Linked DNA regions of Macaca mulatta. The protein of the gene in region 2 interacts with the protein of the main gene of each other region in a pairwise test. Links are inferred from orthologs where the notes say so. Each region holds a gene or a part of one and is shown on either strand. Other genes may lie near its edges.

Region 1 (8,118 bases), on a different chromosome or scaffold from region 2:
GGTGTAGAGAATTATTTACCAGTCAAGTTCCCAATGCCAGCCAAAGGCCAATCTTGTGAACAGGCCTTTCTAAGGATAGCAGTCAGGCCTGGGCACCAGCACACACACAACATACAGCTTTCTGGGGTGTGACAGAGATATTTCATAACTCACACCCTCCTCCTGTTGTGGAAGGTATCCCCACAAACCTCACTTACAGATCTCATCTACTATTCTGGTTTAGAGATACACATCTGAAGGAGGAAGGGAACACCTGTGAGATATGGAGAGCTGAGAAGAGAAAGCCTTGAGTTTCTCCATGAGCATAGCTGAAAATCAGCCCAGAGCTCTGCACTGTCATTTTTCTTTTTTTCCTTCTGTACATGGGACTTTAGTTCTGAGAAATCTATCCTAAGGATCAAAGAGGAAGAGAAGAGAGAAGAAGAAAAATGAGAAAGAAAAGAGTGAGGCCTTTTGAGAGGATGGAGCAGAATCAGGTTAGCTCAAGTGCACTAGGGTTGTGAATATCCAGGAAGCACTGTTGAGTTCAAGGTTCCTAAAATACGCGCAAGTGGTGATGTCCAGTAGGCAGGCAGACTCTGGAGTTTGTAAAGGGCTGTAGGACACAGGGCCTCAAGTGTTCATTTTCTTTTCTTTTCTTTTTTGAGACGGAGTCTTGCTCTGTCACCAAGGTTGGAGTGCAGTGGCGCGATCTCGGCTCACTGCAACCTCTACTTCCTGGGTTCAAGCAGTTCTCTGCCTCAGCCTCCCGAGTAGCTGGGACTACAGGCGCCCCCCGCCACGCCCGGCTAATTTCTGTATTTGTAGTAGAGATGGGGTTTCACCACATTGGCCAGGCTGGTCTGGAACTCCCGACCTCAAGAGATCCACCCACCTTGGCCTCCCAAAGTGCTGGGATTACAGGCATGAGCCACCATGCTCATTTTCTTTTTTTTGAGACGGAGTCTCGTTCTGTCGCCCAGGCTGGAGTGCAGTGGCGCGATCTCGGCTCACTGCAAGTTCCGCCTCCCGGGTTCACGCCATTCTCCTGCCTCAGCCTCCCGAGTAGCTGGGACTACAGGCGCCCGCCACCGCGTCCGGCTAATTTTTTTTGTATTTTTAGTAGAGACGGGGTTTCACCGTGTTAGCCAGGATAGTCTCGATCTCCTGACCTCATGATCCGCCCACCTTGGCCTCTCAAAGTGCTGGGATTACAGAAGTGAGTCACCGCGCCCAGCTGAGTGTTCGTTTTCAAATGAGGTAATACATACGATTACAGATACACTGCAACACACCAGCGTTGAGCATTTTTGTTAAACTTGTAAATATCTTGTGAATAGTGTATTTGTACGTATGTTAAAATAATTACTTGAGTTTCTCTCCACTCTGTTTGGCATTTTTAAATCTTTTCATGCCGGGCGCGGTGGCTCATGCCTGTAATCCTAGCACTTTGGGAGGCCGAGGTGGGCGAATTACCTGAGCTCAGGAGTTTGAGACCAGCCTGGGCAACATGGTGAAATCCCATCTCTACTAAAATACAAAAACAAAAACAAAAAAAAAATTAGCCGGGCGTGGCGGTGTGCGCCTGTAGTCCCAGCTACTCAGGAGGCTGAGGCAGGAGAATTGCTTGAACCCGGGAGGCAGAGGTTGCAGTGATCCGAGATGTGCCACTGCACTCCCGCTTAATGACAGAGAGAGACTCCGTCCCTCTCCAAAAAAAAAAAAAAGAAAAGAAAAGAAAAAAAAGAAAAGAAAAGAAAAAAGAAAGAAAAAAAAAAAGAAAAAGAAACATTTTTTCAATAAGTTGGTGGCAGGAAATCCCAGCTACTCAGGAGGCGAATGCAGGCCGATTGCTGAGACCAGGTGTTCAAGGTCAGCCTGCACAACATAGCAAGACCTCGTTTCAAAAAAAGAAAAGGAAGAAAAAATATTTTTAATATGCAAGAAGCCTCGAAAAATGGAAGTGGTCCCCGTTTCTCTTAATGTCTTGGAGGCCAAAAAAAGTACTGGTTGGTGAAATACACATATAGATATCATCAGTACCCAGACGTTAATTAACGCCAAGGGAGTGTAAAGGGTCGCCCAAGAGAGCGACTTTATGGGAAATGAAAGCTCTGGAACCAGAACATTTAAAAGACTCACTGAAGAAGAGGCGCCTACAAAGGATGCTAACCAGGAATGGCCAAAGAGACGGCGGAAAAACCAAGCGAAACGGTCAGGGAAAGATGGGAGAAAGAACATAAGGAGAACTCAAGCCAATAGTGCATTTTAAGAAGGGTATTAAGGCCGGGCTCTGTGGCTCACGGCCGTAATCCCAGCGCTTTGGGAGGTCGAGGCAGGCGGATCACCTGGGGTCAGGAGTTCAAGAGCAGTTGGTCAACATGGCGAAAACCCTGTCTCTACAAAAACACAAAAATTAGCTGGGCACGGTAGCGGGCGCCTGTAATCCCAGCTATTCGGGAGGCCGAGGCAGGAGAATCCCTTGAACCCGGGCGGGGGAGGTTTCAGTGACCAGAGATCGCGCCACTGCTCTCGAACCTGAGCCACTGGGTGAGACTTCATCGGAAAAAAAGAAAAAAAAAAAAAAAGATTAACCATAGTGTCATATATTTCTTTCTCTTTTTCTTTTTTTCTTTTTTTTTTTTTGAGACGGAGTCACACTCTGTTGCCCAGGCTGGAGTGCAGTGGCACGATCTCGGCTCACTGCAACCTCCTCCTCCCGGGTTCAAGCGATTCTCCTGAGTCGGCCACCTGAGTAGCTGGGATTACAGGCGTGCACCACCACGCCCGGCTACTTTTTGTATTTTCAGGAGAGACGGGGTTTCTCCAAGTTGGCCAGGCTGGTCTCGAACTGCTGACCTCAGGTGATCCACCCGCCTCGGCCTCCCAAAGTGCTGGGATTACAGGCGTGAGCCACCGCACCCGGCCACTGTCAAATATTTCGCTGATTTTCCTCGGTCAGCACCACCACAATAATTGTGCCACCTTACCCAGGCAAGGTTTGGACATCTCTTTGACCCTTTTACAGGGTTTTATACTGTGGTTTCCAGTATTTCCTCCAACTAGACAGTAGAAGCGGGAGATGTGAATCTTCCCCTTTTTCCTCTTCCATAGAGTCTTACTCCGATCGTTCAATTAGTATCAGTGGAATGATTTAAAAAACATTTGAAAAACCACTCGGACAAAACCCTCAGATTCGAACTTGTTCCAGTAGCCAAAAATACCCGCGGCCACGGCTACACTGCGCAGGCGCAAAGGCAGATGGGCTTTCTCCAGCCGGGCTTTGCATTTGGCGCGAAATCCCTTTCCGTGGGCGGGGGCTCTTGGAGAAGCGCCGTTCATTGGTCAGGTTTGGCGCGAAATCTCCGGCTCCTGTGTCACGATTGGTCCCGGCCGTGCCGATCGGAAGAGGGGGCGGGGCGGAAGCGGCGGCGGCGCGCGCAAAGCTGCAGCGTCTGGAAAGAAGCGACTTGTGGCGGTCGAGCGTGGCGTAGGCGAATCCTCGGCGCTGGGCAAATATGGACCTCGCGGCGGCAGCGGAGCCGGGCGCCGGCAGCCAGCACCTGGAGGTCCGCGATGAGGTGGCCGAGAAGTGCCAGAAACTGTTCCTGGACTTCTTGGAGGAGTAAGTCGATGAGCGCCCGGGGCCACGCCCGCCTCCGGAGCCCGCGGTGTCTGGGCCAGGAGGTGCCGTGTGGCCGGCGGGTGTTCCGGAACCTGGGGGTCGCGCGTCCGGGAAGTGTTGCCCCGCCCGCCCCCCAACTTTAGGCTGCGAGCCCAGCGGCCGCGAGGAGCCTAGAACAGGCTGGGTTTTTCTGGACGAAAACCCATATCGAGCCCTAAGACGCTCGTGCCCAGTGCTTTGCTTCTGTCACTTGATGCTCACCACCCCGCGAGCCTGGTATTTGCACAGTTCCCGGTGACCGGCGCGGAAACCTGGGCTCGCTGAGTATAGTAACTGGGCCGCTGGGTGCGGCCGGGTTGAGGGGGAGGCCGAAGTGCCATTGAATCCCGGCGGAGCCCTGCTGGGCCACACAGCCGGTAGCCTGGTGCTGGGGGTGGGCAGGGCCCGGGCCACCCTCGCCGCCTGTGCTGATGAAAGTTTCTGCGTGAACTGTGGTTTGAAAGCTACTGGGGTGCGGAGCCGTGCCCTGTAGAGTAACTACCATTTCCCTTCTTCTGGGTCCCTTGCTCCCCTTTCCCTCTGGCCTTCCTTTCCTTTCTCCACTACCCCTCTTTTTTTCTGTGCCTCTGGGCTCCTGGCCTCATAGCCCCGCCTCCTCCCTGGCTTGCCTTACCTACCCACCGGTTATTTTTCCTAGAGTAGATACACCACGGCCTCCAGGATGAAGGGTCAACAGTTTGGAATGGCTTGTGAAAAAAGCTTATGAAGTTCTTTTTATTGTCGTAAAATATACATCACAAAGTTGACCATTGTAGGCATTTTAAGTGTACAGTCCAGTGACATTAAGTTCGTTCACCTCGTTATGCAGCCGTCACCACCCTCCATCTCCAAACTCTTTTTTTTTTTTTTTTTTTTTTTTGAGACGGAATTATTAGCCCTTGTTCCCAGGCTGGAGTGCAGTGTCACCATCTCAGCTCACCGCAACCTCCGCCTCCCGGATTCAAGCGATTCTCCTGCCTCAGCCTCAAGAGTAGCTGGGATTACAGGCATGCGCCACCACGCCCGGCTCATTTTGTATTTTAGTAGCGATGGGGTTTCCCCATGTTGATCAGGCTGCTCTTGAACTCCCGACCTCAGGGGATCCGCCCGGTTGGGCCTCCCAAAGTGCTGGGATTACAGGCGTGAGCCACCGCACCCGGCTCCAAACTTCTTTCATCTTCCAAACTGACACTCTGTGCCCATTAAATACGAACTCTCTTCCTCTCTTCCGTTACCCTCTCCCTCAACCACCGTCACCCACCACTCTGCTTCCTTTCATTATGAGTTTGACCACTATAGGTACCTCATATAAGTGGAATCATAATAGTATTTGTCGTTTTGTGTTTGGCTTGTGTAGCATAATGTCTACAAGGTTCCCCTGCGAGGTACCATGTGTCAGAATTTCCTTACTTTTTAAGGCTAAATAACATTGCCTCTACAGATTGAGTATCCCTTTTCTGAAATGCTTGGGACCAGAAGAGTTTGGGATCTTGGATTTTTTTTTTCAGATTTGGAGTATTTACATTATACTTAACCAGTTGCATCCCTAATTTGAAATGCTCCAGTGAAAATCATGTCAGCACTCAAAAAGTTTCAGATTTTGGACCATTTCATGTTTTACATTTTCAGATGAGGCTGCTCAACCTGCATATGTACTGCATTTTGCTTGTCCATTCAGTGGACGCAGGTTCATTCCACCTTTTGGCTATTGTGAATAATGTTTCCATCTTATGAAATTTTGGTATACTTAAAACCATAATTTAATTTCCATTTTGCTACCTATGGCAATGTTATTGTCTGCCTGATAGTTCCTCCTTCAAAGCCCAGCTAAAAACTCACCTTTGTGATACCTTGTACACCTTTTTGAGAGGCACTAATCCTTTCTTCCTTAGGCTCCCAGGGTGCCATTTGTTTTTCATTGTCTCTGGCAGTGTAACACCTTTACCTCTCAGCCACTTAGTGTGGAATTCAGATTCCATCCTCAACCCCACCTACCCACCATATCACATTACAAAGGTTCTTCAATAAATGTTTCATTTCAACAAATAATCTAAGTGCCTTGACTTTGCAGCTAGATGATAATGATGAGACAAATAATCTCTATACTTTGTTTAAAGAAGTGCCAACTCCCTGTCACAAAATAAACTTTAATTCACCATTGCTTGTGGAATAAAGTTCAAATTCTTCACCACTCCTTTTTCCTGTTTGTCTTCCAAAACCACCCCAGTCATCATCCACACTTCTCCCCTACCTTCTCTGACTTAATCATATACTTGCAAACATCTGTAGTCAGTCACTCCACCACCTGTTTTTATTCGAAATTTTTAACTCTTTCAGAAGCTGAATTCCAGTACCACCTTTTATATGTATGACTCTTGTACATGTTCTGTTAGGCAGATTTAGTTTCTATTATCCTAGCACATTTCTTGTTCTCATTAACAGGAACATATTTCATGTCTGTCTTCGTTGTTTACATATATCTAACTCCCTAGACACAAAGTGGTAGTTAACCCTAGGGCAGGAACAACACTGCCATTTTCAGCCTCAGATGCCTCTGTCATAGGGCTTTGCACGTAGTTGGTTAACAAATATTTTAAGTCAGAACATGCTGTATTTGAGTTGTCAGAACATGCTGTATTTGGAGGAGAAATTGATTTTTTCTTAAAGCAAATCTGCATATTATGTTTAAAAGAACAGAAAATAAATTTGTATGATATCCTGCTTGGGCTTTAGAAGCAAAAATACCAACTTTTAGTGTGCATGTTTCAATTTTCCTGAAGTCTTGGACAGTGAAACACCTCATTTCCGTGTATTCTTCTATTCTGCTTCTTAAATCCCTGACTAATCTGTCAGCTTGCAAATTACCTACAGAAATGGAATCATTGGGTTCTCGACTGAATTTCTTGATTTAACATTTTCCAATCTTAATTATACATGACAATAATAAGAGTTAGTAGTTGTTTTGTTGTTTTTTTGTTGTTAGCAGTTAAGCCTCACAGTCATGGTGGAAGGCAAGGAGGAGCAAGTCACTGATGTCTTAAGTGGATGGCATCAGGCAAAGAGAGCTTGTGCAGAGGAACTCCTTTTTAAAACCATGAGATCTCGTGATACTTACTATCAGAGAACAGCAGGGGAAAGACTTGTCCCCATGATTCAATTACCTCCCACCAGGTCCCTCCCACAACATGTGGAAATTCAAGATGAGATTTGGGTGGGGACACAGCCAAACCATATCAGAAGGGACAAGTAACTTGCCCCAAGTTACCGAACTGCCAAACATGGGCCCATCTGAGCCTACTTGTTGGACTTTAACCAGTATTCTGAATTATCAATCATTCAGGTTCTTTGTACTGCCTGTGTCCTTAATCTAGTTGACTCGCATGTACCTGCAGGTTTCAGAGCAGCGATGGAGAAGTTAAATACCTGCAATTAGCAGAGGAACTGATTCGTCCTGAGAGAAACACATTGGTTGTGAGTTTTGTGGACCTGGAACAATTTAACCAGCAACTTTCTACCACCATTCAAGAGGAGTTCTATAGGTATGGACATATTAATCTTCTTTACTTTGAATAGGGGTTGAAATCTGGGAAGCCAGCTCTTCCTGGACTGTAAGTGTTCACTTGTGTAGCAGAAGGGCAGCAGTTATTTCCCTCTGAGAAGAGGCGCTTTGATACTGCCAGTGGTCATTTTAGTACTGCTCTGAACTTCATGTAGGCCTTTGTAGAGCCGACCTTTTTTTTTTTTTTTTTTTTTTTTTTTTTTGAAACGGAGTCTTGTTCTCTCATGCCCAGGCTGGAGTGCAGTGGCGCGATCTTGCTCACCGTAACCTCTGCCTCCCTGGTTCTAGCAATTCTTCTGCCTCAGCCTCCCTAATGGCTGGGATTATAGGCGCCCGCCATCACGCCCGGCTAATTTTTTACATTTTTTAGTAGAGATGGGGTGTCACCATGTTGGTCAGGCTGGTCTCGAACTCCTGACCTCAGGTGATCCACCCGCCTTGGCCTCCCAAAGTGCTGGGATTACGGGCGTGAGCCACCGTGCCCAGCCAGAGCTGAAATTTTTTTTCAAATACAAATGTTGAAAATCTTTGCTTTCTGTATAGTTTTCCCAAGAGGAAAACTGTACTTTTGTGTCATTCCACTGATCCTTTTTCCCCACAGGAATAGGTGTTTGTGTGCGTCCTGTTCTTGTACTGGGGATATCTTTACAGCATTGATGTTGTTGTACTTCTTGTTCCCTTAAAGTTTAATTTTGTTTCTGCTTATAAAAGTAGTAGGTATATATTGTAGAAAATAGAGAAAAGTAAGGATAATTAAATTGCTTATACACTTGTAATCTACCACCATCATTAGCAGGTCTGCTACAAGAGTTCCAGGAGCCTTCTAAGTCTACAAGTACAGAGTTTTGTAAGGATCTTCTGTCACATTTTGATGTCTTTCTGTGTGTACTGTGTATGAAACTACTCAAATTCACAT
Region 2 (7,517 bases):
TCACTTTTTGTCACCTACCTGCATAGTTTAGACAGTCAAAGTCTTTCTTTTGAGACAAAATTGGATCTCATTTGTCTCTTCACTTACTTGCTGTCTTGTTACTGAGTTTCTCATGATTAGCAAGATGTAAATTCTCTGCCATTGGTCATTTAGTCCTACATGTTAGTAAGATAATTCTGTGAATTTTTTGAAAATTAGCTGAATTATTTTTCTTATAATTTTGATTCTTCGTAGTTTTTATTTCCATACTTGTGAATTTGGGACCAAAAGGAATAGCTATGACTTACGTTTCTTTGGATCCAGTAGTTTATTCTACTGAAATTATGGTGTTCTCATCATCAGTTAGTAGAAGTACAGACTCTTTAGTGTTGAATATAGAGATAATGTCATCTAACTTCTTACTTGATCACATAATTCCTTCCTCAGTTTTGGTAGCTCTCTTGTAACAGCTGAAATAGGACATTAATCTGTGTACTTTAAGTTCACAGAGTAAAAGGAATATAAGATTTTGAGTGATGCAACTTAAAATACTCCATCTTGTAATGTGGAACTAAGGAGGAGGTTTAGTGACAAGTTTTAGATTTAAGATTATATACTTTGGAGCCTCTTTTTCTTTTTTATTTTCCTTTTTTTTTTTTTTTTTGAGACAAAGTCTAGCTCTTGCCCAGGCTGGAGTGCAGTGGTAGAATTTCGGCTTATGGCAGCCTTGACTTTCAGGCTCAAGTGATCCTCTCACCTCAGCCTCCCAAGTAGCTGGGACTACAGTGCATGCCACCACACCTGGCTAATTTAAAAAAAAATAACACTTTGTAGAGAGTAGCCTCACTAGGTTGCCCAAGCTGGTGTTGACCTCCTGGGCTCAAGTAGTCTGCGTGCCTCAGCCTCCCACAGTTATGGGATTGATTACAGTCATGATCTACCTCACTCAGGCTGCAGCCACTTTCTTTCAGTAGCTTTGGATATTCCACTTACAAATTTATTTTTAAGTCTCCCATGTGGTTGATAATTGGGAAAAATAGTTTTTATTCCAGATAGATATTCTGTGTTAACTGTAAGTCAAATGTTTACAAACTGTTAAAAATGAAATAGTGATTATGTAAAGGAAAACTGGATTTTCCTAATGCTAATTTTTAAAATGATAGAATCCTAAAACTCTTAGCTGTAAACCTGGTGATTTTTCAGCTGTTGTACTAAACAACTTAAGCACATATACCATCAGACGAGCCCCCCTCCCCCCTTTTAAACCAAAGGAGTGTATACTCTGTTAATGCAGTCAGTAAGCATTGACATTCTTTATCATATCCTAGAAAATATTTATTAGCTATTTCACTAGTCAGGGGTTGTTGGTAAATAGTGCATCTCCATTTTCTACTTCTCATCTTCGCACACAGGTTAATCACTTCAGTGCTTGACTAACTTTTGCCTTGATGATCTGTTGGGCTTTGTACATGACAGCTATACTAATCACTGTGCTTATTGTTTGACTGTTTGGTACAGGAAGCGAGCAGCTGCAAAGCATCTAATAGAACGCTACTACCACCAGTTAACTGAGGGCTGTGGAAATGAAGCCTGCACGAATGAGTTTTGTGCTTCCTGTCCAACTTTTCTTCGTATGGATAATAATGCAGCAGCTATTAAAGCCCTCGAGCTTTATAAGATTAATGCAAAACTCTGTGATCCTCATCCCTCCAAGAAAGGAGCAAGCTCAGCTTACCTTGAGAACTCGAAAGGTGCCCCCAACAACTCCTGCTCTGAGATAAAAATGAACAAGAAAGGCACTAGAATTGATTTTAAAGGTAAGATGTTTTATTTTTAATTGAGAATTGTTGGCTGAAAACCATGTGGGAGATTTAAATGTATGAGTTTTTATTTGTTTTTTCTTATGTGACATTAAGACATTTTGATACTGTAGAACCAATTTTTTGTTTTGGTAAAGGACAGGAATAATAACTACATTTTACAGGTTTAATCGTTGCTAATTAGAAGCAGATCATATGCCAAAAGTTCATTTGTTAATAGATGGATTTGAACTTTTTAAAATTCTTAGGAAAAAAAGTATTAATTGATAGTTAATCTCCAAAACTAGGCCACAACATCTATTTAAGTTATAGAATAACTGGACTCAGTATCTGGCATGAGTTCTGGAACCTCAGGATGATGTGATGAAAGAAGTAGGAAGAGGAAGCAGTGGGTTTTTTTCCATTTTAGAAGGCAAGACAAAATTTTGTGATAGTTATGTGAGAATTCTACATTTCCTTCAAATATATGCTTCTCACTCTCCTCACAAACATTTGGTACAGTCATGCTGCCAAGGGTGGTGACCTACCAATGACAATCTTCACTCAGGTCTTTTGTTTTTTAAATGGTCCTGTGTCCAAAATTCAGGATTCGATTACCTTGTCGCTAATACTAAAACTCCAAGTTATTTTCCTCAGTGAATGTAATTAGTAACACGGTAATCAAATTTTTGAATGACTGCCAGGGCTTAGCGCCCCTGCACCCCCACCCCCATACACACGCAGAGGCAATTGTATTTTAAGAGAGAAAGCTTTTTGTTTATGACGTGTAAGTGACAGAATTTTAGAGGCATTTGCCTCTAAAACTTTCAGTAACATCATCTGAATCAAGTTTGAAAGAATTAATGAAGTGGCATTGTGTTATAACCTCTACTGTTTCCACAATAGAATTATTTTCGTCACTTTACACAACTTTGTTGCTTCAGAGTGTATAGTTCTGTTTCATGAATTAGCTCACACACTGTGGAAAAATAGGTAAATGTCTATATATATAGTGTGTCAGTATAATGTGGAAGCTGCATTGACTCTATTGTACACAGTTCTCCAGTAAGTGTGCACCACAGAGTACCAGTAACTGAACGCAGAGTGCTGGCACAGTGGAATGCAGCCAGCTGGGGGGGGTGTGATACATGAGGAATGTACTCATCTGCTCTTTTGGCCACATGCTCCATCTTAGAGATGCTTATTGTGTGGCTTTATCCGGTCTTTATGCCCCCACCTCTTTTTGCTGAAGTCTGCATTAGTTAGCAGTTTTGACCTTTCCTTTTTCCTACTTTCTAATCTGCTACTGGTACTATTCCCTGTTCTTTACTGTTTTGTTTTTGTTTTTGTTTTTGCAGTGTTTTACAGTTACTATCATATATTAGAAATTAGAAATGCTGTCTCTGCACTAGTACTCTTATTTTGATTATTAATTATGTTTATTAACACTAATCACAAAGTTGCGTAACTATTAAGTAGTCTGCACCAAACTCTTGTTGTGTAAAAGGTTTTTAAGTGCAGAATTTAAAAGATTGAGTATTTTCAGGGACACATTTATCACAAGAAATCTTACAAAAAATGTCTTATTTAATATATTCTCAGTAGAACACCTCTATCAGTAAACCAAACTTTATGAATGTTCATATCTAATTACAGTGTTTTTTGACTAATTTTTATCTATATATCTGAAAAATTCAGTTTAACATATTAAACACTACAGGCCAGGCATGGTGGCTCATGCCTGTAATCCCAGCACTTTGGGAGGCCAAGGCGGGCGAATCACGAGGTCAAGAGATCGAGACCAGCCCAGTCAACATGGTGAAACCCCATGTCTACTAAAAATACAAAAAAATTAGCCGGCTGTGGTGGTGTGCACCTGTAGTCCTAGCTTCTCGGGAGGCTGAGGTAGGAGAATCGCTTGAATCCAGGAGGCAGAGGTTGCAGTGAGCCGAGATCGTGCCACTCCAGTCTAGCCTGGCGACAGAGCGAGACTCCATCTCAAACAACAACAGCAACCACAACAAAAAACACTACATGGAAAAAGTATAGGTACATTCTATATAGGATTAGTAGACTGTCAGAATCACTTGAAGATGTTCCGAAAGCATGACATATCAACAAAGGACATGTGAGTCTAGAATCGTGATCCCTAGGACAGGCCATATTACTGCATGCAAAGCAAGTCTTTGTTAAGCTTATGACTTGCTCAGGAAGCAAAGTGTTTTATGTCTTAATTTTCTGTTACATTTTGGGAAATTAGATAGGGGTTTTGCATTGTCTTGGAAGAAGGTATTATAAAAATTTTCAATGAAAATAATGAGAAATAGACTTCCAGTGGTTTTACGCTTTTGGGGAAAAGGTTACTGATGTTTAGCAAAAGATGCTTATATATTCTTAATAGAACAAACCTGAGAATTAGTTCTTAAAGAGTTAAGGCCCATAAAAGAAACTGCAAGTGTTGACACTCTTGTAGCTTGGCCACAGATCAGATCCTTAGTATGATAAAATTTGGTATTTTTGTGGTTCAATTTTTGGAGACCATTCAGTGATCACTTACATTTTATATTGTCTTTCATTGTGAAACAGATATATTATAGCAGAGGTGGGAGTCATTAAAAATTCTACATGTTGTATAGTACATGTATAAAGGTATGTTTGGCACAATGGAGGTAGGATTGTGTGCCTCTAAAATTAACCCCTTAAGTAGTTAATCTGATGATGATAAGTATGTCACTTTATTGATGAAAGGGAGAATTAAGACTATTCTCAGTATTATGTTGGTCAGTACACAAAATATATCATTTGTTTTTACCTGTAAAATAAAATATCTTTCATCCTGTTAGCCAGAAGGGGGAAAGCATTGGCCTGAAAATAACACTTATCTCAAAAAGTTGGGAAATGTGGTCCAACTCTGTGCCCAGGAAAAGAGGAAACAGATTTTGATGACTACATAGTCTCTGCACTGCTTGCCAGCTCATAAGTTGCCTTCTTCGCACTGTTTTCATTGCTCAAAAATTATTTTCTGTCACTCTATGAGACTTAGTCTAACCTGATTGCTGGCTGCAGAAAGCAGTTTCTGCTCAAGAGCTGATGAGAAATGGTATATTCTTCTCAATCACTCACAGAATGACTACCCTGGAACAAACTAGGAAGACCCAAAATGAACCAGTTTTCTTTTAATACATACATAGATGCTGAAGGAACCTTTCTTTTAAGACTTTGCCTTCTCAGTCTTTTGAGAACGGAGTACTGAAACAAGAAAACTCTCAGAAGATTAGTAGTATTTCTGTTCTACAGTGAGGTTTTAAGAGCTGTATTATGATTAATCAGTATATGACATATTGGTTCATATTTATAAATAAAGCTATACATTAATAGATATCTTGATTATAAAGAAAGTTTAAACTCTCCTGATCTCATTAAGAGTTATGCATTGTTGAAAGAATGTAAAAGCATGGGTGAGGTCATTGGTGTAGGTAGTTCATTGAAAAAAATAGGTAAGCATTGAATTTTGTTTGCTGAATCTAAGTATTAGATACTTTTAGAGTTGTATATCATAAATGATGTTGAGACTACAATGTTTGGCTGTTTTACTTTTATTAGAACTTTTTGCAACAGGGTAAACATGCATATTATGAAAATAAATGTTCTCTTTTTTCCTCTGATTTTCTAGATGTGACTTACTTAACAGAAGAGAAGGTATATGAAATTCTTGAATTATGTAGAGAAAGAGAGGATTATTCCCCTTTAATTCGTGTTATTGGAAGAGTTTTTTCTAGTGCTGAGGCATTGGTACAGAGCTTCCGGAAAGTTAAACAACATACCAAGGAAGAACTGAAATCTCTTCAAGCAAAAGATGAAGACAAGGATGAAGATGAAAAGGAAAAAGCTGCATGTTCTGCTGCTGCTATGGAAGAAGACTCAGAAGCATCTTCCTCAAGGATAGGTGATAGCTCACAGGGAGACAACAATTTGCAAAAAGTAGGCCCTGATGATGTGTCTGTGGATATTGATGCCATTAGAAGGGTCTACACCAGATTGCTGTCTAATGAAAAAATTGAAACTGCCTTTCTCAATGCACTTGTATATTTGTCACCTAACGTGGAATGTGACTTGACGTATCACAATGTATACTCTCGAGATCCTAATTATCTGAATTTGTTCATTATCGTAATGGAGAATAGAAATCTCCACAGTCCTGAATATCTGGAAATGGCTTTGCCATTATTTTGCAAAGCAATGAGCAAGCTACCCCTTGCAGCCCAAGGAAAACTGATCAGACTGTGGTCTAAATACAATGCAGACCAGATTCGGAGAATGATGGAGACATTTCAGCAACTTATTACTTACAAAGTCATAAGCAATGAATTTAACAGTCGAAATCTAGTGAACGATGATGATGCCATTGTTGCTGCTTCGAAGTGCTTGAAAATGGTTTACTATGCAAATGTAGTGGGAGGGGAAGTGGACACAAATCACAATGAAGAAGATGATGAAGAGCCCATCCCTGAATCCAGTGAGCTGACACTTCAGGAGCTTTTGGGAGAAGAAAGAAGAAACAAGAAAGGTCCTCGAGTGGACCCCCTGGAAACTGAACTTGGTGTTAAAACCCTGGATTGTCGAAAACCACTTATCCCTTTTGAAGAGTTTATTAATGAACCACTGAATGAGGTTCTAGAAATGGATAAAGATTATACTTTTTTCAAAGTAGAAACAGAGAACAAATTCTCTTTTATGACATGTCCCTTTATATTAAATGCTGTCACAAAGAATTTGGGATTATATTATGACAATAGAATTCGCATGTACAGTGAACGAAGAATCACTGTTCTCTACAGCTTAGTTCAAGGACAGCAGTTGAATCCATATTTGAGACTCAAAGTTAGACGTGACCATATCATAGATGATGCACTTGTCCGGGTAAGTTGGGCTGCTAGATTAAAAACCTAGTAATGGGGATATCATGATACAGTTCAGTGAATTCATTTTAAAAGTGACTGAAAAAAATGATACCATATAGCATAGGAACACATGGACATTTCTGATCTTAGATATAAGTATTACACTTTGTTGTTCCTGTCCAAGTTTATAGATGTTTTCTACAAAGTATCGGTTGTATTATATAATGCTCACTCTATCTTTGAAAAAGAGTGGGTTTTCTAAATCTTGAATACTAGATCCAAAGTTTCTTTCATTCAGAAGAGAATAGAGTGTTGGGCAAAGACCAGAACAAGAGAAATGGGGAGATACCCAGTAATAAGTGTGGATGTGAAGTCTTGAACTGGGAGAAATGGTACAGTAAAACTATACCATAAAATTTTAGGTAGTGTCCAAAAAATTCCATCATGTAAAATTCAGAGTTGTTTTATTGTGAACTTGATGAAGTGACCATGGCAGACCAGCGCCTGTTGCCAGTAAGAGTTGAGTCCTGCTGGGCCACTTAGAATATCCCTGTATGGACGGCACTGCCTGGCTGTGGTAGTTTCTTCCCACTTAAAAATTCATAGAGACAACTCTGGGTCTTGGAACTTCTGGAAAACAGCAGCTATTCCAAAAATTTGGGGATTCGTGGTGGTGCCTGTAACATCAAGTGCAGGGAGATCGAGCAGGGAAATACTGGAAACTCAGGTACTCGTCTTAACTTCCTGGTTTTCCAGATGGGGTTGCCATTTGTTGCTTTGCTTTTCTCCACAAAAGATTATTTTTAGTGTATCTATTTAAGAATATAAGAGTGGCCAG
Region 3 (8,155 bases), on a different chromosome or scaffold from region 2:
GTAGCAAACACATTCTGGCTAAAATGAGAAACAAGACAAAAATGCCACTGCCACCTTTATTATTTAGCACTGTTATGAAAATGTTTAACCCATGCAGTCAGAAACTATGTTATAAATTTTGAAAAGTAAAACATATAATTATAACATCATGGATAGGATTTCTCACCTGGAAAAACTCAAAAGGATCAAATGAATATCTCTAAAATTAATAGATTTCAATAAATTGCCAATTTAAAATAATCTATGCAAATAAATTCTTCTCCGATATAGCAAAAATGACCACATAGGTAACATATTAAAAGCTCCAATAAGCAGTATCAACGTGTTCCCTGTATGTCTGTAATACCTAGGAACATATTTATTACAAATTATATAGGATTTAAATAAAACTCTCATGAAGGATATATAAAGTTTTTTAGAAACAAGGCAACATATGTTTCTGGAAAGCAATGCAATTCTGTAGTCCTCATAGTCATATAAATTTAAGAGAATCCCAACCAAATTAAATATATTTTTTGGGGAAGAATCCATTAACCGTAAAATTCATCTGGTAAAATAAACATGTCAGAATCATCAGAAAATTGTAAAAAATAAAAAAGATCAAGAGGAGGTCTCACATTAACAGATACAAAGTCCCATTTCTAACTCATCTACAGGCTGGTGTACTGGTGCCACAATGTTCAATGGAACTAAAGGGAATCCAAACACAGAATAAAGTATATACATGTATGACATTTCATATGTTGGGGGAAAAGATAAATATGTTAACAACTGGCTAACCTTTGGGGCAAAAAAGTTAGAATACCTAAATCCATATATCAAGATAATTCCAGACAGGACAAAACATTTTCTTAATGAAACCATATAAGTTAGAGAAATACAGGATAAGATTTATATAATCTTGGGGTGGGATAACCCTCCTAAACACGATCCTAGGGCCAAAAGGCAAAAAGAAAAAGATTTATCCATTTTTTAATTTTTTATTTTTTTTTAGTCATTTTTAATGCATTTTTCTCTGTGCACAAGAGAAATAACTGATGAAGTCAAAAGATACACTTTCCTTTATACATAGCAGTTAAAAGTAATGCAAACATCACATGACACTTTCAGTGAAAGTTACATTTCCAATTACAAATCAAAATGCATATTAGGGTCTCTTTATGGGAGAAGTTGAAAAGGAAGTCTTAGGTAAAAAGCACTTTCCTGGCATTACTACACTGATCCTTCGGGCTGCACAAAGATTAAGGTCATATACAGTCAATCTGCAAATGTTGACACAATGTTACACTGTAAATTTTCTGTACAATTAAATGTATACTTAGAGATACCAGGATAAACATTTCTACTATATTTTAACTGAACTTGCCTAGCCAACATTTTCACTGAGAAGTTTATCAAAGATGCTGTAAGATTCTACAAAACTGTGAGACACATACCTAGCTCCAGAAACATTTCTTGTATTCTTTCTCATTTTGGTTACACATATTACACTCAGATTCTACTGTAATATTTTTAGATGTACAGTGCCAACTGTGCTTACTGTACTGTATACAAATATAGCAAAAAAGATCAATGAATGGTATAAATCTTACAGCATTTTGCTAGCAAAAATACATGCCAAAGTCACAATAAGCAATATCGTACCACAAATTAGAGAGCTTCAAATAATTTGCCTCTGTTTTTAATATCTTCATTCTACATTAAATTACTATCATAGGCTAATGTTTAAAAATGCAAATAAATTGGACATCTGTAGGACAACACTTGTTCACCCAACTGTGAAGGTTGATACTTGTTTCCAAAAATCACAATAAATGCAGAATAAAGAGAAGTGTTTGCATGCAACACTTTTGAGTGAAACAGCATTGATTCCCACCATTCAAATCGGGTAAGGAAGGAAACTAAAGGAAATAAGGAAGGAAGGAAACAAAGAGGGAGGAAGGGGGGAGACAAGACGAAGGGAAGGAAAGAAAAATAAGCAAAGGAGAAAGGGAGTGAGGGAAGTAGGAGAGAGGGACTCCATCTTAAAATGCATCATATTAGACTGATAACTAGACAGATTTAAAAGAATCAAAATGAAAGTAAAGAACGATTTTGTGTGTGTGTTTAAAGATTTAAGAGCCATTATCAAAAATAAGATACATTTTTTTTCCAGGTACAGAAATGTGATTACGATGGCTGGGAGCCCAGCAGCCTTTCAATGGCTGCATTGATGTCGCCTCCTGTTGCTATTAGGGCCTGCAAGTTTGCTTCACGGTTTAAGAACCCCATTGCGTTGAGCTGTTCCAGTTGTTGCTGAAATCTGACTTCTGGATTCGGCAGCTGTGGAGCATTTGCTCCAGCCAGAGCCTGCACCATTTGCTGAATGAACTGCTGGTTGGGTCCAGATTCTGATGTAGGACTCGTGGTTTCACTGGGTGCAGCGCTGGACACAGTAGGCCCAGTGGGGCCACCAGAGCCGGTGGAGCCAGGGGGGCCTGCAGGGCCAGTGGGTCCTATGGGCCCAATGGGGCCTATGGGGGTAAAAGGGACTATAGGGCCTATGGGGCCTAGGGGGGTGACTGGGCCTACAGGGCCTATAGCGGTTCCCAGCACCCCCACCCCCACACCTGGAGTGAAGCTTGGAATCAGGCCAGGTGCTTCAGTGGCTAATGTCTGTAGCCCCTGCTGGATCTGCATTAAAGCCTGCATTGCTCTTGGGTTTGACATGGCTGACAGTGTGTCTGGATTCTGCATCTGCTGCAGGAAGGCTGGGAGCTGTGGCCGCATCTGCTCCTGCAGCTGAGGATTTGCAGTAAACAGCGGGCTATTCAGCATCATCTGTGCAGCCAAATCTGGATTCTGGCTCAGCGACTGCATCATGCTTCTCATGTAGGGCGCCGACAGCATATTCTGAATCAGCTGGGGGTTTTCAGTTATCTGTTGCAGCAGGCTCTGCATGCCTGGGGTACTAAAGATGCTGGCGACATAATTAGCGGCAGCAACGGTGTTCCCAGTAGCATTGCTGGAACTATTGCCAGAACCACTACCAGTGCTCGTGGTCGTGCTGGTAGTTGCAGAACTCTGGGTAGCTGGCGGTGGTGCCCATGGATTGGGTAGTGGATCGCGATTTTCTGTGCGGGAAGGCTGCGTACCTTCCCCAGAGGAGGAACTACTCCCCACGGAGGCAAATGGATTACCCCCAAACTGCTCTTGTGCGGCATTCAGCATCGGCTCTTGAATGTCAGTGTACATGCGCCGTAAAGCATTATAGCCACCTGGGATGCTTTCTAGATTGCTAAGAGCCAGGTCTTGATTTCTCATCATCTCTTGCATCATGGCTGGATTCCTGGCAATTTCGAGTGTCTGCCTCATTATATCTGGGTTGTTGAGCAGGTGACTGATTTCTGGGTTTCTCTGAATCAATTGCTGCATCTGTGGATTAGCCATAATGAGCTGCCTCATCAGATCGGGATTCGAAAGCATGCTCTGAACAAAGGGATTTTCCATGATCTGGATCATCATCTCAGGGCTGGCCATGAGCTGCTGCTGCATCTGGCTCTGGAGCTCAGAGAAGTTGGTAGAGCTCAAGCCCAGGCTGCTAAGGCCTGCAAGTCCTCCCAGGCTCCCCAACCCAAACGGGTTGCTATTTGTGGAAATAGGTGTGGAGTTACTCCTGGGAGTCGACGCCGAGGTAGCGTTAGTTCCCGCGGCATTGCTAGGCTGCGTGGACTGGCCCTGAGGTCGGTTCTGGCTTTTGATGACAAGGTGAACAGTGAGCCCATCATGGATGCCATGCTGGATCAAGGTATCTTGATCTTTTAAGATTTTTCCGGCAAAAATCAGCACGAGCTGATCGGTTTGGGATTTGAAGCGTTTCGAAATCGCTTCCTTAAACTGCTGAACCGAGCTGTTCTCGGGCACCGCGAACTCCTCTTTCTCTTTGGGAGTCTTCACAGTGACTTTGATGATTTTAGGCTCAGCCTGGGCAGCAGCCGAGCCTTGGGCCGCAGCAGGGCCGCGGGAGGGGCGCGGGGGGCCGCTGCTCTCGCCATTCTCAGCCATGGCGGCCGCGGTGACGCAGGCGGGCAGGGAAGGCGCGGGCGGGCGAAAGAGAGAGAGCGAGGGAAGGAGGAAGGAAGGAGGCGCCGCCGCAGCGGGCTGGGCCGGGTCGGGCGGGGAGCGCGGAGCACGGTACCTCTCTGATGAAGACTGCGGTTCCCTGGTCCTCCGGTGGAGAAAGGCCTGGGCGTAGGCCGCGAGCTGAGGTCTCCGCGCTCCGGTCTCTGGGCCTCCTCCTCCGCCGCCTTGTGATCCGACCGCGCGCACTCCCAGCAACTCTGGCAGCCGCTCCGCCTGCTGCTCCCCGCCCCTTCCCCTCCCCCAGTTCGGCGCTCGCCTCCCCGCCCCCTCTGCTGACGCGGCGCCAGGCCTAGATTGATAGATTTGGCTCGGTCAAAATTAAAAACTTCTGCACTGAAAAGAAAAAAAGGGAGAGAGCGAAACAAAGGGAGAGAGAGAGAAGAGAAGAGAACAGTACAGAGCAGGCGAGGCAGAGGGTGGGACGGAGAGAAGGAGGCGGTAGAGAGTCAGCTTCTGTAAACCACATTAAAAGACCAATGGAGAATGTATATTAGCAATCTGTAAGGCAGTAAAAGGGTGAAAGCCTGAATCGAACCGATCCCACATATAAGACGAAAAATGAATAATAAAGAACTCTGACAAAGCAAAAAGAAAGAGGAACACCCCCAATGGGGGAAGGGAAGAAGACAGAGCAGGAGCATGCATTTTACAAAAGGAGTGCAAATGGCCAATAGACATTTTAAAAAAGATGATTAATTTCACTAGCAATAAAAAAAAATTCAAGTTAAAACAATAAAATTCTACTTTTGGCTTATCATATTGGCAGGGAAAAAAAATAATGATAAACCTTGTTGTTGACAGGGACCCTAAAAAATGCACTCTCAGGCTAGTTGAAGTGTGAATTGTTACAACCATAGGGCAATTTGAAAATATATATCAGCATTTTGAATGTTTACACCTTTATTTAGAAATGCCTAACCTAGACAATTCGCCTAATAATCGTATGAGGATGCAAAACTATTTATGTATAAAATGTATATACATTGTAGCATTTAAAACGTTATTTAAATATATTAAATATCTGTTTACATAAGATTAGTCGAGCACATAATATTACCATACAAGAAAATATAGAGTGTCTTTAAAGGTATACATGAACTAAACTGTAGTTATAGGGAAATCACAGATTATTTTCAATTTTGCCTTTGTATATTTCTGTACAGTTAAAAACTATATAAGAATGTATGTTCCAATATCAAAAATACAATATATTTTTATTTTAAAAGCAATTTTTGAACAGTTAGTTGTATATGTAAACCGTATGTGTAAAAAAATCTGAAAGGCTATACACAAATAAGTTAATGGCTGTTAGTACTGTTTGCTGAAATTATGAATAATTCTTATTTTCTACTTTCATAAGATTTTGAATTTTCTGATGATTTTTGTAAGTATGCACTACAGAAAGGTATTTTGGGGAAGAGTATGGGTAGAAATTGACAGGCACATAATAGTAGTGGCAAACATTGACATATTTACCTAATTTCATTACAGATTAAATAAGAGCAATAAAGATGTAGCAATGCTCAGAAAGAGAACTTGAAAAATAGAAGAAATAATTTCAAATTTATCTATATATTTCTAACTCTAGGTTAAACCACACAAAAAATTATTCCCCTACCCCCACCCTCTACCAAGCAGCCACCAAAGAACCACTGATTTGAACATTTAACAGCATTTCAAACTCATTAGGTCACAAATACTTTAATAAATCTCAAGATAAGAAAAATATATATATACAGGTATGTTATATCCATTGATGGAGAAATGGAATAATATAGTATGTTTAATATAATTAATAAAATACAGAGGTAAAAGAATGACTAGCTTTAAATATGTTAATATGTATAGATCTAAAAAGCTAAATTAATTAGTGTTAGGGTGGTGCAAAAGTAATTGCGGTTTTTGCCATTGAAAGTAATGAATTGTTACTATTATACAATGGTTTTTGCCATTGAAAGTAATGGCTAAAACCACAATTACTTTTGCACCAACCTAATACATGCCAAACAGCATTCTAATACATTCTTATGTATATTTGAAATATTCTTTTAGAAATATACCAAACTTGCACACATGAGGAAGAAGAAATGGAACAGGATATAGGCTAGTGATTAAAGGGAACTTAAATATGTAAAAATGCTTTTTATCTTTAAAATGAAGGCAAGTATGGTAAAATATCAGCAACAGTTAATCATGGGTGGTGAGAATATGAAAATATTATAGGTAATATTTAATTTCAATAGAATAAAGCTAGATATTAATAATCAAAGTATGAACAAAAAACCAATCATTTGATTATTAAAACAAAACTGAATAATTTTGGGACAAAGTGCAATGTTCTTATTAGAATAAATTTACCAAAATAATGATAATGGGAGCATATACAGCAACAATAATGCTAGGAATTTTCTACGTGTGATCTGAGAACATTGTTAAGAATGCATGTTTCTAGGCCCCATGCCAAACCTACTGAAATAAGCAGTGCACTGGAAGCTGCATTTGTGTCAAGCTCCAGTTTAATATTATTTCATTTATTAAGTACTATGTGGATGAACTCAGAGTCAAATTTATACATTCAAAGATTTAAAATATCAAACAAAAGATTGAAAATAAGTGAAGTAGGCATTTGAATAAAGAAGACAACGGAAAATAAAAGGAGAGAAACGGGGTGACAGCTATAGAATGATAAAAGCAAATATTAATGAATTAACAAACAGAAAAAATAAAATTTGTTAAGTAAATCTAAGAAGATATTTGAAGAATCAAGTCAAATACACAAATCTTTATTAATTGGTGATTGTCTTGCCTGGCCATTCCCTCACCAAAATACACATCAGAGGGGCAAAACCATACTCACCCTCTTAAGGAAACTTTCCACAAACACATTTCTTCGCATTCTCTTTCTTTACCTTAAAAATTATGTGATTTTTTTGACATTTTACTTCAAAATATGTTACTGTTAATGTTTTAAGTTACAATGAAATAAAATTAACATTTTAGTAGTCGAATATACATATCCTCATTAGTGAAAAGCACAGCATTAATTAGCTGAAACAAAGAAAGCACACCAAGAAAAATATACAAACTAGTATTGTGTGAATAAAATTTAGTCACAGATGAAAGGGACTTTTTTTTTTTTTTTTTTTTTTTTAGTAAAAAAGAAATGCATTGTAAAAATATTGGCTAATGACAAAAAAAAAAAAAAAAAAAAAAAAAAAAAAACCTCAGTCCTGATGACTACATTTCTAGGAAGATAGATATGGTCAAAATACATTCCAGAAGTAGAAGATCTTAAAGTATGTGAGAGACATGTAAGAAAATGAACAAGGTCAGGTGCAGTGGTTCATGCCTGTAATCCCAACACTTTGGGAGGCCGAGTCAGGCATATTCCTTGAGCCCAGGTTCAAGAACAGCCTGGGTAACATGGCAGGACCCCATCTCTACAATTTTTTTTTTTTAAACTAGCTGAGCTTGATGGCTAGTGCCTGTAATCCAAGCTACATGGGAGGATGTGGGAAGATCGCTTGAGCCTGGGAGGTGAAATTTGCAGTAAGCCTTGATCATGCCACCACACTCCAGCCTGGGTTACAAGAAAGTAAATAACTAGTTATTTTTCAAATCAGCTATTTTGTTCATAGTGGCTGCTAAGCTTATGTTTTTTACCCTCTCTCTTTACCAAATCCCACTGAAGTGACAGAAATGAGAAAAATAATAACCCCCTAACAGTTTTGAAAAGGTGGAAAGAGTGCCATCAATGAACTTTTAAGTTAAATATCAAAATAAATTCTAGATTAAAAAATGAAATCATAAAATTTGCAGAAATATGTTAGGGCAAATATTTACATAAGCTAGGCATGATGGTAACCTGATGAAAACAACAAAGAAAAATCATGAATGGAAAAATTAATAGATTTCATTAAGAATTTTAAACTATATATCAACAATGTAATAAAAATTAAGCAGTTAAAGACAAACAAAAAATGCAACATATATAACACATGAGATCTATCCATGACATACAGACATTTCTTAC
Region 4 (7,517 bases), on a different chromosome or scaffold from region 2:
TCTTTTTTTTTTTTTTTTTTTTTTTTGAGACGGAGTCTCGCTCTGTCGCCCAGGCTGGAGTGCAGTGGCCGGATCTCAGCTCACTACAAGCTCCACCTCCCAGGTTTACGCCATTCTCCTGCCTCAGCCTCTAGAGTAGCTGGGACTACAGGCGCCCGCCACCTCACCCGGCTAGTTTTTTGTATTTTTAGTAGAGACAGGGTTTCACCGTGTTAGCCAGGATGGTCTCGATCTCCTGACCTCGTGATCCACCCAGCTCGGCCTCCCAAAGTGCTGGGATTACAGGCTTGAGCCACTGCGCCCGGCCTAGTGCAGTTGTATTTCTAGAGCACCCTTGAGTGCAGTATCTCCCTTCAGAGATTTCCAGGTACATGTTTTCAGCAGCCCTTTTGGTGAACTGAGAGACATTTTTCAGAGATTTTTTTGTTGAAGTTGTTGTGGACACTATGGACTGAGGCAGTGAGAGGACAGGGTTCCCTCAGCACTGCCACCCCCCATGCCTGAGTGAGGTAAAAGGCGTGTCAGGCAAAGGTTTTCTGTAATAGGTCAGGCTTGTTCTATGTTGATACAGTGACCTTGTTACATGGCAGCTCCATGGTTACATTGCAGCTGCCAGCACTCTGAATAAGAATGCAAATATCAAATGTCAGTGTCCCTTTCTCTTCCTTTCCAGGTGTTTAGGACAGACCTGATCACTGCCATGAAGTTGCATGACTCCTACCAGCTGAATCCGGATGAGTACTATGTGTTGGCAGATCCCTGGAGACAGGAATGGGAAAAAGGGGTCCAGGTGCCCGTGAGCCCAGGGACCATCCCTCAGCCTGTGGCCAGGTAGAGATGCCCTGAGGGCAGACGCCTCTCCACCCACCCTCGCTCTTCTTCCCTGACAGCAGGCATCTGAGAAGAGACAATTTCTGAGTTAGCAATAAAATATCATGAGGCCTCAAGTGGAAATAGAAATGTAGGAGCAGCACACTTCAGGCATACAGGGTAGTGGTTTTGAGGGCCATGAGCCTCCATACTTAACATTACAGCCACCACTGTGGGGAGGTGCTGCTGTCTTATGAGAGGAAGGCAAATTCCAAGACATCCTGGGAAGTGATGGGCTGGGGGAGGAAAATTTGGGTGTTCACATGTCTTCATCCTCTTTTCCTGCCCTCCATGTTCACTCTGGAGAGTGACTCTCCTGGAGAGAAGTGTGTAGTTGCCTCCGCCTTTGGAGGAGGACAGGTGTGAGGAGACCAGACCTGCCAGTTAGGGTTTGTGGAGAGGGGAGTTTTGGAGGGATTTATTTTGACTGGTCACATTGTTCTCAGGGTGCGTTCTCTGAATTTACTGACTTTAAAGATCCCTCAGGGCTGAGTCCCTGCCGACTCTCCTCACAATCAGGTTGCAGCTGTTTACTCATTTCCTCACTGCCCTGCTTCGTGCCACCTGGAGAGTCCTCTTAGGAGGGAGGATTGAGTGCCCTCTGTGCTCAGCTGGCACCTGGCTTCTCGGCCATCATCAGTTGGCTGCTGCTTTGCGAAACAGTGTCTTTCTCCACGCTGAGTCATGACTGAACTTGCTTCCTGGCCGTCACCCACTTTGTGTCTCTTGTTTTGGGCACTTAAGATGATCAAATTTGAGTTGTCATTTTGGGATCTCTGGGGCGTCTATCCAGTGGTGACATATGCCCCTGTCTTACTCAGGCTTAGGTGACCAATCAGAAGTGCCAGGATGGCCCCCACAGGCTAGAATCGGGACCTGTGGAATGGAGCGGTCACGGGGCTCTGCGGGGCAGACCAGGTATCTGCCTCAGAGCCTGTGTCTGAGATGTAGCACCACCTGATTCAGCACTGGCAGCCCCAGCCTAGGAGTCACTTGCTGAATGCTTCACTTTCAGTGGGGAACCAGGACAGAAGTGAGCATTAATACAGCTTGTGGAAGTTTTCAGTTGGATCCCTGCTCTTGGTTGAGTAGGAGAAATAAATCCCTTCAGTTTGTCCATCTCAGCGTCATGTAGATAAAATCACTCCCATAATATAAGGGTGATGAAGGTACTCTGACAGACTCTGGGCAGCCTGTTGACAGTAATTTAAACTGCAGAAATGCAGATGTGGAAGGACTTTGTTGAGGCCTGGGGCCTGTGATTAGGAAGATGGCCTTTTCTGGTCCAAGTTGGGAGTGATTTGATCTTCTTGCGCATGCTGTCTTATTTTGAGTGGGGTGAGTTGGAAAGCACCACTCCAGGTGTTAAAGGTTGGGGGAGAGTGTGTGGCAGTATCAGGAGGAGAAGAAACTTGTGCTTTTGTTTCTGGGATCATAGGTATATGTTGGGAGAGTCAGTCTGCCTCTTGGCTGGGACTCTTGATTCTTAGATTTGTTGATAATGGCCGAGGTCTAATTCCTTTTTTTTTTGTTTGTTTTTGAGACAGTCTCACTCTGTTGCCCGGGCTGGAGTGCAATGTTGCAATCTTGGCTCACTGCAACCTCTGCCTCCTGGGTTCGAGCGATTCTCCTGCCCCAGCCTCCCAAGTAGCTGGGATTACAGGCGTGCGCTACCATACCAGGCTAATTTCTGTATTTTTAGTAGAGATGGGGTTTCACTGTGTTGCCAGGCTGGTCTGAAACTCCTGACCTCAAATGATCCACCTGCCTCAGCCTCCCGAAGTGCTGAGATTACAGGCTTGGGCCACCGTGCCCAGCCCAAGGCCTAATCTTCTTTTCCCTCTCTCCGGCTTTTTTTTGTGAGGTGTCAGCGTTGGCGGGTATCTCCCTCTGGTTCTCAGAGTCTGCTGTGCCTGCCCTGCCTGTGTGGTGCCCTGGTTCTAATGGCCTCCAGCAGAGATGGGCAGGTCTGGTTAAGGGAAAGTGATTAACTCTTGAAATGTAAGGGTCAGTGTGTTTTGGTGTTGGCTGCAGGCCAGAGTGGTCAGAGGTGGTGGGCAGGGCACAGCAGTGTCCTGGGAAGCAGATTTGAAGGCTTCTACAGTGTTTTCATTCATATCTATTTCCTGTTCACAGGCTTTACCAACTTCTAGTTAAGGTTTTATTAGCAGTGACATTCAGGTTTTCAGCCTCTAGTGATGACCTGTGGCTCTGAGGGTTGGAAGAGGAAGCGACACCTGGGGCCTTGTGGCATACTTCATTGTCTGTGACTGAAAGGGTAACCTAGCTGCCTTGTTTTTTGTTATGCAGGGTTGTGTCTGAAGAGAAATCCCTCATGTTCATCAGGCCCAAGAAGTACATCGTGTCATCAGGCTCAGAGCCTCCCGAGTTGGGCTATGTGGACATCCGGACGCTGGCTGACAGTGTGTGTCGCTATGACCTCAATGACATGGATGCTGCATGGCTGGAACTGACCAATGAAGAATTTAAGGAAATGGGTGAGAGACCATGTATTATATTATTTTATTAACCAATAATGAATAGAAACGTATTTTAGGCAGGTAGGTGAGTAGCAAAAAGCTCCTTATTGCCAGTTGAAGGCATCTCCATCATAGCTTCAGTTAGTCAGAATGACAGCCCTGCCTTAGAGCTCAGCCTGTTTGGCTGTGTCAGATGTGCTGAGATGGATTCAGAGTGGAAGCAGGGCTCCTCGGCTTAGGCACCAGGGATTCCCATGTCCGCTCTGATCTAACTCCCTCATTCACTTACCTTAAGGAAGCTGAAGTCCAGGACTAAGTGACAAAAGGGCATACTCCAGTTACTTGCTCTAGTGTTTTTTTTTCTGCGACACCATTCAGATTCCTTCTTCAGCTGTGGATTGCTGCTTCTCTAAATGAACACTTTTCCAGGCATGCTCCCCATTTCCAAGCACATCACACGTGTTTTAACTTGAGTGATTTTCCTTATGTCATGCTGCAAACCTGGAGTTCTTTTTCCCTCCTGTTTGTCTATGTCCTGGCTTTCCTTTAGTGAAGCCTCACATTAGCTGAGTGCCCAGCCCTTTTCAGCTTCTTTTCTGCAAGCTCATTTTAGTGTATGTAGAGGTTGGAGCTTCTGCATGTCATGTACTTGCATCTCACGGTGTTGAGACTGGGATGGTGCGTAGGTCTCATTTCACATGCCAGTCCTGATTGCTAAGGGTTGCCTTGAGCGTCTTGATGAACAAGACAATGGAGTCAAGTCTGGGATCAGTGTGAAAAACTATGAGGATTAATTAGCTTTTGTACTGTAGGTACACGGTGGGGAAGTGGTGGCAAGGGCTGTGTATTGTAATCTAGGACATAGTAAATAATCACAAGATCAGCTGGGCTCATTGCCTCATGCCTGTAATCCCAGCACTTTGGGAGGCCGAGGTGGGCAGATCACCTGAGGTCAGGAGTTCAAGACCAGCCTGGCAAACATGGTGAAACCCCGTCTCTACTAAAAATACAAGAATTAGCTGGGTGTGGTGGTCCCAGCCATTCAGGAGGCTGAGGCAGCAGAATCACTTGAGCCCGGGGAGGTGGAGCTTGCATTGAGCTGAGATCGTGCCACTGCACTCCAGCCTGGGCAACAGAGCCAGACTCCCTCTCAAAAAAAAAAAAAAAAAAAAAAATTCACAAGATCTTTGGTCATGGTGAATTTCACAGCCTTGAAAGGGCCAAGATCTTTTCTTTTGTGTCTTTCCAGGGAACCTAGCATAGAGTGTGGCTTGCAGTAGATGCTTGTCCTGCCATTAGGCTCACCATCCTGTTGAATGGGAGTGACAGTGTAGACTGAGCTGAGCATCGTGTTATTTTCTACTTACTCAGTTACTCAGGTGTTTTTTTTTTTTTTTTGAGACGGAGTCTCGCTCTGTTGCCCAGGCTGGAGTGCAGTGGCCGGATCTTAGCTCACTGCAAGCTCCGCCTCCTGGGTTTATGCCATTCTCCTGCCTCAGCCTCTAGAGTAGCTGGGACTACAGGCACCCGCCACCTCTCCTGGCTAGTTTTTTGTATTTTTTAGTAGAGACGGGGTTTCACCGTGTTAGCCAGGATGGTCTCGATCTCCTGACCTCGTGATCCACCCGTCTCAGCCTCCCAAAGTGCTGGGATTACAGGCTTGAGCCACCGTGCCCGGCCTACTCAGGTGTTTTTATAGACAAAATAGATTTCCTCCTTCTTGGTCCTGCTTTAGGTATTAATGGCCAAAACATTAGCAGGCCACAAGGTGGTTTTATGGCATGTGTTCAGGAGTTCTCAGAGATCTTTTGGAACTGGATACTAAATTTTAGCTTCAAAGATACACAGTTTCTGCTTTGTTGTAAGCACATTATAAAGACCAGTGTAATGCACTTGACTGGAATCTAGGTGTCCTGTGTGAAGTCAGAGGACTCAGCCCAAAGACTCTTGGCATTTATGAATGGTTTAAATAATAAGAACTGGGCTAATCCATATTTGAAGATACTGTTGAATACATTGGCAGGATTAATTTTGTAATTTTTTTTTTTTTTTTTTTTTTGAGACAGAGTCTTACTCTGTCGCCCAGGCTGGAGTGCAGTGGCGTGATCTCAGCTCACTGGAAGCTCCGCCTCCCAGGTTCACGACATTCTCCTGCCTCAGCCTCCCGAGTACCTGGGATTACAGGTGCCCGCCACCTCGCCTGGCTAATTTATTTTTGTATTTTTAGTAGAGAAGGGGTTTCACCGTGTTAGCCAGGATGGTCTCGAACTCCTGACTTTGTGATCTGCCCGCCTCAGCCTCCCAAAGTGCTGGGATTACAGGGGTGACCCACGACGCCTGGCCTAATTTTGTAATTTTATAACATAAATGGAACACATGCTTAAAGATGTTTGTCTTAGCTGTTACTGATCTTTTTTTTTCTTTGTTTTTTGAGATGAAATCTCACTCTGTGGCCCAGGCTGGAGTGCAGGGGTGCAATCTTGGCTCACTGCAACCTCCACCTCCTGAGTTCAAGTGATTCTCCTGCCCCGGCCTCCCAAGTAGCTGGGATTATTGGCACCTACCACCATGCCTGGCTAATTTTTGTATTTTTAGTAGAGAGGATTTCACCCTATTGGCCAGGCTGGTCTTGAACTCCTGACCTCAAATGATCTACCTGCCTCGGCCTCCGAAAGTACTGGGATTATAGATGTGAGCCACTGTACCTGGTGTTTCAGTCTTTTTTTGCATTTGGTTAACTATGTTTTTCAACTTTGTAGAAGTCAGAGTATGAGGAGGGATACATCATTTAAAAATATTAGAGTATCCAAAGTGTAATCTGTTTTGAGAGAACTTTTTTACCTACCAAGAAAGGCAAATGTTAAAAAACATCCAAACCATATCTGAGGTCATGGTTTTGAAGTCCCTTACGTGTTAGTTGTTATGTGTAATGAGTATAATGAAATGTCGTATTCAACAATGTATGTATTTAATATCCTTGAATCCTTTTAAAATTTACCTTTTGCTTTCCCATTTACTACACTGCATCTTTACTACCTGACCACAAGAACATAACAGTTTCCTGGAAGACTCTCCCCTTTGAAGATTGTTTCTTAGAAGGATCTGATAAGGATTTAATAAAAAATTTTGGGGCCCTCAGGGATGGATGCATCAATGGGTTGATTGATTGATTGAGACAGGGTCTTGTGTCACTCAGGCCAGACCACAGTAGCACAGTCATGGCTCACTATAGCCCCAACCTTCTGGGCTCAAGCAGTTCTTCCACTGCAGGCTCTTGAGTAGTTGGGACTACAGGTGTGTGCCACCACACTTGGCTAATTTTCATATTTTTTGTAGAGATGGGGTTCCACTATGTTGCCCAGGCTGACCTTGAGCTCCTGGGCTCAGGTGTGAGCCACCGCGCCTGGCCAGTGATGGATTTATTTATCAGACTATTGTTTATTCATTGTACATTTTTTTAAGTATAAATAAACCAGAACTATTTTGTAATATTTATTAATACGGATTTATTAAAATGGGTTTGTGGCATTTTTAACTTCAGGAATGCCTGAACTAGATGAATACACCATGGAGAGGGTCCTAGAGGAATTTGAGCAGCGATGCTACGACAATATGAATCATGCCATAGAGACTGAGGAAGGCCTGGGGATCGAATATGACGAAGATGTTGTCTGTGATGTCTGCCAGTCCCCTGACGGTGAGGATGGCAATGAGATGGTGTTCTGTGACAAATGCAACATCTGTGTGCACCAGGTATGTGGGGCAGGGAGGCCAGAACGAAGAAACCTGGGACATGAGCCTGTCTGCTGTGGGAGTGTATGCCTGGAGTCCAGGATTCTTCCTCTGAATGGGGTCTGTTTTTCTACAATTTAAAGAAATGTGCCCTATAGACTTTCTTTTTCCCTGGTAGGTTCTTACAGTGATTGAAATATATCCTCTGCTTTTGCAGCCAGAAGGATAGCACCCTCTGTGGAAATCGTCTTTCTTCACGTGTTTTATTCTTATCCATAGAAGTCAAGTTTATTTAAAAAGAATGTATGAGCCCCCTCTGTCCTACCGTAATGCCTAAGTTTAGGTATTAAGAACACTGAGAAAACAAACCTTTGAAAAGGTGGTTAGTGTGCTGTATTAGTTTCTTACAGCTGCCCTGTGTAACAGAAAAATCAC

Evidence for each region.
Region 1: the proteins of UBE3A (region 2) and MCM6 interact in binary tests that used the Homo sapiens proteins (3 or more experiments, as listed by UniProt). The link is inferred for Macaca mulatta from reciprocal best matches to the Homo sapiens genes UBE3A and MCM6.
Region 3: the proteins of UBE3A (region 2) and UBQLN2 interact in a two-hybrid assay, tested with the Homo sapiens proteins (2 studies listed by BioGRID and IntAct). The link is inferred for Macaca mulatta from reciprocal best matches to the Homo sapiens genes UBE3A and UBQLN2.
Region 4: the proteins of UBE3A (region 2) and JADE1 interact in a two-hybrid assay, tested with the Homo sapiens proteins (3 studies listed by BioGRID and IntAct). The link is inferred for Macaca mulatta from reciprocal best matches to the Homo sapiens genes UBE3A and JADE1.

What each region holds. Positions count from the first base shown.
Region 1 is NC_133417.1:27,486,338-27,494,455, reverse strand, and holds the start of MCM6 (DNA replication licensing factor MCM6), read left to right. Parts: upstream 1-3,434; 5' UTR 3,435-3,497; coding exon 3,498-3,604; intron 3,605-7,035; coding exon 7,036-7,182; intron 7,183-8,118. UniProt on the Homo sapiens protein: Acts as a component of the MCM2-7 complex (MCM complex) which is the replicative helicase essential for 'once per cell cycle' DNA replication initiation and elongation in eukaryotic cells.
Region 2 is NC_133412.1:4,572,484-4,580,000, forward strand, and holds part of UBE3A (ubiquitin-protein ligase E3A), read left to right. Parts: intron 1-1,497; coding exon 1,498-1,796; intron 1,797-5,451; coding exon 5,452-6,698; intron 6,699-7,517. UniProt on the Homo sapiens protein: E3 ubiquitin-protein ligase which accepts ubiquitin from an E2 ubiquitin-conjugating enzyme in the form of a thioester and transfers it to its substrates.
Region 3 is NC_133426.1:56,536,951-56,545,105, reverse strand, and holds UBQLN2 (ubiquilin-2), read right to left. Parts: upstream 4,322-8,155; 5' UTR 4,045-4,321; coding exon 2,610-4,044; intron 2,514-2,609; coding exon 2,170-2,513; 3' UTR 961-2,169; downstream 1-960. UniProt on the Homo sapiens protein: Plays an important role in the regulation of different protein degradation mechanisms and pathways including ubiquitin-proteasome system (UPS), autophagy and the endoplasmic reticulum-associated protein degradation (ERAD) pathway.
Region 4 is NC_133410.1:137,603,839-137,611,355, forward strand, and holds part of JADE1 (protein Jade-1), read left to right. Parts: intron 1-673; coding exon 674-831; intron 832-3,180; coding exon 3,181-3,368; intron 3,369-6,891; coding exon 6,892-7,103; intron 7,104-7,517.